2 linked regions of the Schizosaccharomyces pombe genome follow. Changing the gene in region 2 together with the main gene of any one other region gives a genetic interaction. Each region holds a gene or a part of one and is shown on either strand. Other genes may lie near its edges. The genes, in order: pof10 and coa5.

Region 1 (4,731 bases), 1.3 Mb from region 2:
ATTTGCAAACTAATAAGCATATTTATGCGGACAACTTACTTCTTCAATTGTACGATAAACAGGCAACAGAATTTCTTTAGTACCCCAATAAAGCTTGCTGATACTTTGACTTCCTAAGCACGCGTTAGTATTCAAATTTTTATATCAACGAAGCACATACCGAACGTATATATGATAGCAGCTACAGATGGAACAGTTCTACCACACATATAATCAAAGTCAAGCATTCCTTGAACAGCCTTTGTCTGCATGCCATACACAAAGGCTCTGGTGTCCTTGGAAAAAAGCTCATAAGAAGGTTTATCCACTGATCCCGCCATTGTTGTTCTTGTCACTGTGTTGGAGGAGGTAAGGAACGTTCGCTCATTGTTTTGCTGAACACTTTTTTACATTTAACGAGATGTTTGCGATAATTGAAATTTTGAAAATCAGATAACGCAATCAAGCGATACTTTTTATACATTCACTGATCAACGGTGCGTATGCCTTAAGAATATTTTTTTATGCTTTTATTAAGCAATAATATTATCCTTAAATAAGCATAGTAGGATATAAGAAAATACGTATTCCTAAAAGATTTTATTAACAAAATTAAAGTAACCTCTATTTTGAATTATAAAAATTCCCACCAAAATCCCTTGAATCCTCCTCCTTTTTTTACTTCGGAAGATTGATGAAGCATGTAATAAATAGATGAAGGACATGACTATATGCAGATGCAAAAATTTAACTAACGTATATTTTTCTACTTTTTCCCTCTTAGTAAACTACTAGGTGTATCACATTTCCATGAGTGATAATCGCATGGCTAGTTCAATCTGCTCTTGTTCGTTCAGTTCAGCAACATTCGCTTGTTCTTGCGGTGGCTCATGATTTGAACTTAAAGCATTTAATGACGATGTAGCTTGTTCATCGTTTTCTTTAAAATCTTCTTCTATTTTATCAACATCCATGGAGAGCTGAACCATTCTCTTAGCTTCCTCTTCTTGTGAAAGCATGGTAACATATGCTATGATTTCTTCTTCACTTAAACCAACCAAGCCCTCACCAAAATGCTGTTCAAATTTTTGCCGGGCTTCCATTTTTTCTCGTCTTTCCTGAGCAATTTGGTCCAAACCTAACATGATTTCTCTTTCGACTTCATTTTTTGAGTAGTCAGACGACTTCGACAGATTATCGTGTGTCACCGAAGGTCTCAAGGGTAAAACCTTGGACCTTTTATTAACAAAAGGTTTGGGAATTGTATAAGACCAAGATTTGACATGCTTGCTCATGGTGATCACACCTTTCAAACTTAACGGATTTGAGTCAAGCAGTATGCAATTAATTGGTTCTCTTCTAGCAGCATTCCTGGCACTCGCTATTTTTTTCAAAAAATTCCCAGTAACGGTATCGTATACTCCGCAATAGCCGCTAGCCGACCCTACTACCATTGCAACTTCATTCAAGTAAATATCGGTAATAGGAAAATTTGAGTATGCAGTAATAGTTCTAAGAATGGCCTTGTTAGGATCTTCAGTGCGAGTGTTTACAACATAAACCAAACCATTTTCATCACCAACAGCGAGCAGTCTTGCTCCTCTACCAGGAGTTGATTTTGACAACACACGATCGTTCGTATCTAAGGAGATTGAGGTTGGTTTTCCGTTGAGAGGAATTGAAGATGTTTGAACGCCGACATTATCGTTTTTCTCCAAAAATTCTTTAAATGAAACTCGACAAATACAATTTTTCGGTGCGCCCCTGGACAAGAAGGCAACACCGGCACAGCAATCTGCCGTCATCAGACAAGGAGGTTCCTCTTCATCAGTTAACACACATTTTCTGGACGATAAAAGTATAGGCTGCTCATTCTTTCGGGAGCGAGCATAGCCCGGTATTAAGTATAATTGATATGAGTTAAGTTCATAATTAAAAGTGTCAACGAGTAGCATTTTGTATTTCGGCCTGAAACACAAAGAAAGGATTTGTGAAGAACGGAATTGAAATGATTGAAGACTAACACCTGTTTTAACATCCCAGCAATGCACGGATCCATCATCTGATCCAGTAACCATACCGATTTCCCCAGTGGGGGGCAAATCACCGGTTAATGCATCAATGCATGTAACTGAATCAGCATGGGAATCCAGACAATAACGAAATTTTCGAGGAGTCTCGGCTTGACGTGACATCAAAATAACTCCAACGCGACCATCCATAAAACCAAAGCCAAAAATTTGTTTCCCCAATGTCATTGTAGATAATCCATGCGTAAAGCTGCCATCAGTACTAGCATGTAATAAAGACCTCTCAACCTTTCCAGTGGTAGGGTCGGAAACGGAGATTGTTCCAGTAAGCCAATTTCCTGAATAAAGCCTTCCTGAAGAAAAGTCGTAATAAAGGTTGGTCAATTGTCCAACGCGACAATCATACTGAACTGTTTGCCCTTTCCCTTTTTCATAAGCTCTAGTAATGGTAGAACGTAAAAGATATTCTTGCCGCCATGTTCCATTACCTAGTGGACTAAATATTTGCGACTGATCACCCGCAAAGTGATGAAAAAAAGCAGTACGCCAACTTAAATCATCGGATAATAACTTTTTCCAATATTTGCAAGTGCATTGAGCAGAAAGTAAAGAGCGAGGATCAAGAAACGAAAATATAATGATCAAAATTTCTAGAAAAAGTTAACAAAATCTCGAAAACTAAAATTGAATGTGTGAGAATTTACCTTTTGGCAGGTTTAAAACTGTTCTATTCGTATTATTTGAAGAATGATCCCGATTCATTCTCCTTAGGTTTGAGGATGTAAAATCCAAAGATGTTGGTTCCGATTTCATTGGTCTTGGCGTTTTGCCTTAGTATATAAAGTGGAACTTACTACGTGTACCAACGTATCGCTCAGAAAACGTCCTGTAATCATTAATTAACGAGCATTTTATATTCGAAAATTAATGTTTGCTTGTATCTTTTGATAGATTAATTAAAATGCTTTTATCTACATCCAAATTGAAATGAAAATTTAAAACAGTAACCAAAAAAGCTGAATATATTAACCCTATGCTAGTCCCTAACACCAGAAATACCTAATAAAATGAATAAATGATTTTACTGAACATGCAATTGTGCAATATGGTTTCATTAAAACCATCATTCCTTCTCTTCTTCTTCTTCTTCATAGTTATCAGATAAATCATCACCATTTTCTTTTCTTTTTTCTTCTTCTTGTCTATATTTTTCTAGTTCTTTAGATTGTTTCTTATTAAATCCTGAAGCCTCAATCATGATATCCAAATTATTTTCCTTTTCCATTTTCGATATGTCTTCGAAATTAGGAACATCACCTTTGTATTGATAGTTTTTTTCAAAATATTGCACAATGCACTGTACGTCTCTATCAAAATAAAATTGCGCATCAGGATGACTAGTAGATACCATTTGCGGAAAATCAATTACAACAGCTGTTCCATCTTCACGAACAATGATGTTAAATTCGTTGAAATCACCATGTATTAACCCATTCCTTGCAAATCGAACGATAATATCCATTAATGTCTGATATAGAGCAGGTGGATCACGAATGTCAGTAACAGCACGAAGAGGAAACGCATCAATCATTTCCATGATAATACAATGCCTGGAATGATCAATTGGAGCAGGTACAGGGAAACCATGCTCATGCAAGATCTTCATAAAAGCAAATTCTTTTGTGGCAGCTAATCGAGACAGATACTGCCATGATCCAGTTTTACGATTTCTCAAATAATCTCTATTGTTTTTTACACTCCGGAAAGATATACGCCCAAGCCTGTGGATTTTTAAGATATATTGCTTTCCTTTTTGGTCTCCTACGACGTAGACATCAGATTCTTTACCGACGCCTATTTGATTACCGACAGAGTAAACGGATGCTCTCTTTGACAAGGCCTTCAATGCCAAGTAATCATATCCCGCATATGTTAGTCGATAGCCCTCATAGCTGATATGCGGCACCTTTGCAATTAATTTATGCATAAACAAAACGGACAATGATTTCGTACAAGAGCCACCGCGTATTTTAGCAATTTGATTAATCATATTCGTTGGAACAACTTCATGATTACGGCTTCCCATTTCTACCTATAACTTGTTAGTTCGAATACTTATTGAAATCAAAATATAATTAATTGAATGCATCATATCGTATGTGTCAATAAGTAAGAAAATACAAAACATTGTACGATCAAAACGATTTAAGCTATATGACTGCCCAAAGATAAAATAAAGTGCTTACAGCTGTCAGAGTGCGAAAATCCTCGGCAGAAAGATATCTCATTGCTTTTATATTCAAATTTACCATCTTGACGAGCTTAACTTTTTTTCTTGCTAAAAATAAAAAAATAAGTAAGAATGCTAATCAAAGTTCAATTCCGACAATCACTAAATTGTGGTTCTCGTCAAAATGGTTGGTGTTTTGGCTAAGTGTGCTTAAAGTATTACTTGCCATCTGAGAAACATTTTTTACTTCACGCTTTAAAATTATGTAACCACAAAAATGAATACCAACTTTTTTAAAATATGAGAGCTATACACAATTTTGTCTTTAAATATCTTATTTAAGCATTTCTCAATAATTTATTAATTAGGATTACTTAAAATATACATTAAACCTTCCCTTTGATATAAATAACATAAAATTAAAATACTGACAGTAACGAAACGAATAAAAAAGGCCTACTGGTATATAATCCACCAATTTAATAACTAGTG
Region 2 (3,799 bases):
TGAAGACTTTTGACTTCATTGGCCTTGTATGTGTGATAACCGGTATCGTATTGATTCTTTTGGGAATTTCTTTAGGTGCATCATCGGGGAAATGGCGCCGTGCTAATATCCTATGTTATCTTATTATTGGCGGTTGTTTATTTGTATTTGCTTTTATATATGATACTTTTACGAAAAGAAATGCTGTTTTACCACCTCCATTCTTTAAAAATCGTTCTAGTGCAGCTTTGCTGGCTTGTTCATCTTTTTTCTATTTAAATTACATGCTTTTTGCATATTACGTTCCTCAATACTTTCAACGGATTCGCGGTGACAATCCCATTATGTCTGGTGTACATACTATCCCTTGTGCAGCTGTGCTGTGCTTTTTTTGTACGACAGTTGGCATGGTTCTTCGGAAGCTAGGACGTTACTTGCCGTTGATATATGTTGGATATATCAGCTGTGTTGCCGGTATGGGTGCAATGATATGTGTAAATGCTACGACCTCTATGAGCAAAGTCATGGGGTTAACTACCATATTTATGTTCGGATCTGGTTTTCTTTTTCTGCCTCCGCTCATTGCAATGCAGGCAACTTTTCCACCTGCAATGACTTCCATGGCTACTGCTACACTTATGTTTATACGTACCATGGGTGGTTCTATTGGTATTACAGTTGGTGAAGTAATATTTAATGAACGGGTTACTCAATCCTTTGACGGGAATACAACTTATGCTCAGTTATCTTATAAACAGGTTGAACGGTTACCCCAGGAATTACAGATTCGTGTAAAGAATACCTATGCGTCTGCCTTCAGGGTTATTTGGATATTTTGTACTGTTGTGATGGCAATTGGTTTTGCTTCTATATTTTTCATTAAAAGCCGTCCCTTGATAAGTAATGCTCAATCTGTGCCAGCAAAAAAGAAAGGTGATAGCGATGAAAAGCCAGCCGAAAAGGTGTAAATTATTTTATTTTGTTTTATTTATTATTTAGAAATTTATTGCTTTAACGTCTTTCTCACTGTTCGAATGTGCCTTTGAGTTAACTTGAGAAACAGGATTTTTAAGGAAAGTTTGTGTAGTTATATCTCAATTTTTTTTTTAGAAACCGATAGCTAGAGATAATCCTAGAGGGTGAATTATACTGTATATCTTTGATTATACCTAGTAGAAAACACTTTTAATTTGTTTGCAGGGAATTCGGAAATTAAAACTTCATCTTTAAAATCGAAACCTTGAATGCATTTAATTAAGTAGATAGTCGAAATAATATCGCTAGAATTTAACACACTACGACCTCTGATGGTTCATAGAATAGGTAGCTTTTCTTAATGGCATAATTTAGTAATATCTGTTTGTATGATTTAATTGTCTATGAAACCATAGATTTATTGTTCGTCAACATTTGATGGCTTCTCAGTATCTTGGTCGGTGTTTTTTTCTGGCGCAATTCGATATCGTTTAGTCATATCCAGCTGAATTATAACCATTTAGTAAAATAATAAGAGCCAAGCATTAACGTACCATTTGACGTTTGCATTCGCCATACGCCTCTATCAGATTTTTGCATTCTTCTGGAAGTTCGTCCTTGTTTTTGAGACATTCTCGTGCACTTTTTTTTTTAACAAACATACAATCAGAATGTAACAAACAATTTGCTAAATCTTCACGAATAACTTTACACGATCGGCCCATTTTTTACTGTAATTTTAAAACAAGGCTAAAAGTACATTGAATTCGTTCTTGTCAGTAGAAAATAGGATTTGGCGTAAGGTAAGGTGAACCTCTACAATTTGTTAATCCCTTAAAAGAACCATATGATCAAATGTTCTATACTAGATTCACCATACGTAAAATACATACTATTAAGAAAATAATTAAGCAAGCTGCTTTTAATTAGGTTTCATAAAACTGGGAATCCAAAATCTTTTGTCGGGCTAAACGCATAGTAATTTGACAGTGATTACAAACCCACAAAGCTTTGCTTTCAAACCTACTTTCTGAGGTTTCTAACCTTTAAGTATACGCTTAATGCATTTATTGCAAATCACTCAAGTATAAAACATCATTATATAGAAAACAGTAAAACGCAATGCAATGATTATAACCTTTCTTATCAAAAACCGTAAAGTGTTGCTAGTATGTTTTTATAAACAATTGTTACATATTTGAAACAAATTCTCGTATTCTTTGGCAAAGGAGCATAATTCTCATTATTTATGCTTAAATACTAATAATTATGTTCATTTGCTTCGTGAAAAAATGTCTTTCAAATCATAGTTCTTTGTTTACATTTATCGTCACTTCAATCCGTACAGTACAGAAAAATTCGAAAATTGATCATTGCAAGAATATTAATGAATACTACTTATATTACTTCTTTATAAAACATTATGTTATTTGCATGGTATGAGTTTTGGAACCTCATTGCATAAACTTCCCTCCTTAGTGCTTTACGAGTTCATTCGTTTTTCGTTATTTCCTACTCATGACTTGGAGTACCTACGCTCTCCCTTGACAAACAACCTAAGTTTGCAACCAAAACGTCTTGTGTAGCGCGTTTAGTTGCATTTACATTCGTTATTATCACAAATTATGAGAGAAGTAATTTCTGTTCATGTTGGACAAGCAGGTGTTCAAATCGGTAACGGTATGTTCAATATCCATCTTTTTGTATTGCTGTATACTCTAAATAGTTGGCAATCGATTTTTTCATAAAAAATTTAGCTAACATTTCTAGCATGCTGGGAGTTGTACTGTTTGGAGCATGGCATAGGACCCGACGGTTTTCCTACAGAAAACTCCGAAGTTCACAAAAACAATAGCTATTTAAATGATGGATTCGGTACATTTTTTTCTGAAACCGGGCAAGGAAAATTCGTACCTAGAAGTATCTATGTTGATCTTGAGCCTAACGTTATTGATCAAGTTCGTACTGGACCGTATAAAGATCTGTTTCATCCTGAACAGATGGTAACTGGTAAGGAAGATGCTTCTAACAATTACGCCCGTGGACATTATACTGTAGGAAAGGAAATGATTGATAGTGTATTAGAAAGGATACGTCGTATGGCTGACAATTGTTCTGGTCTCCAAGGTTTCCTTGTATTTCATTCTTTTGGTGGTGGTACCGGCTCGGGTTTGGGTGCTTTACTTCTGGAGCGCTTGAACATGGAATACGGAAAGAAATCTAACCTCCAATTTTCTGTTTATCCCGCCCCTCAAGTGAGCACATCCGTTGTTGAACCTTACAACTCTGTGCTCACTACCCATGCTACTCTCGATAACTCTGACTGTACCTTTATGGTTGATAATGAGGCTTGTTACGATATCTGTCGCCGAAATCTTGACATTGAGCGTCCAACCTATGAAAACCTCAACCGCCTTATTGCTCAAGTTGTCTCTTCTATCACCGCTTCTCTTCGATTTGCTGGTAGCTTAAATGTTGACTTAAATGAGTTTCAAACTAATCTTGTGCCATACCCTCGTATTCACTTTCCTTTAGTCACTTATTCTCCTATTGTCAGTGCAGCTAAAGCATTCCATGAATCCAACAGCGTACAAGAGATTACGAATCAGTGCTTTGAGCCTTATAATCAAATGGTAAAATGTGATCCACGAACTGGCCGCTATATGGCTACTTGTCTTTTGTATCGTGGTGATGTTATCCCACGTGATGTCCAGGCTGCCGTTACTAGCATTAAATCTCGTCGCACCATCCAATTTGTTGATTGGTGCCCTACTGGTTTCAAAATCGGTATTTGCTATGAGCCACCCCAACACGTTCCTGGTAGTGGAATCGCTAAGGTAAATCG

What was found.
Region 1: mutations in coa5 (region 2) and pof10 together harm fitness more than expected from each alone (negative genetic interaction), as found in Schizosaccharomyces pombe (one large-scale study listed by BioGRID).

What each region holds. Positions count from the first base shown.
Region 1 is NC_003423.3:2,923,603-2,928,333, reverse strand, and holds pof10 (F-box/WD repeat protein Pof10), read right to left. Parts: upstream 2,821-4,731; 5' UTR 2,772-2,820; coding exon 2,714-2,771; exon of another isoform or gene 2,660-2,713; coding exon 780-2,659; 3' UTR 544-779; downstream 1-543. Other genes in the region: acl1 (ATP citrate synthase subunit 1), read right to left, coding at 40-113, 161-320; rio2 (RIO family protein kinase), read right to left, coding at 3,133-4,101, 4,256-4,321. UniProt on the Schizosaccharomyces pombe protein: Probably recognizes and binds to some phosphorylated proteins and promotes their ubiquitination and degradation.
Region 2 is NC_003423.3:4,266,412-4,270,210, forward strand, and holds coa5 (cytochrome c oxidase assembly protein Coa5), read right to left. Parts: upstream 1,760-3,799; 5' UTR 1,680-1,759; coding exon 1,509-1,679; exon of another isoform or gene 1,460-1,508; coding exon 1,373-1,459; 3' UTR 948-1,372; downstream 1-947. Other genes in the region: SPOM_SPBC16A3.17C (transporter), read left to right, coding at 1-947; nda2 (tubulin alpha 1), read left to right, coding at 2,580-2,634, 2,725-3,799.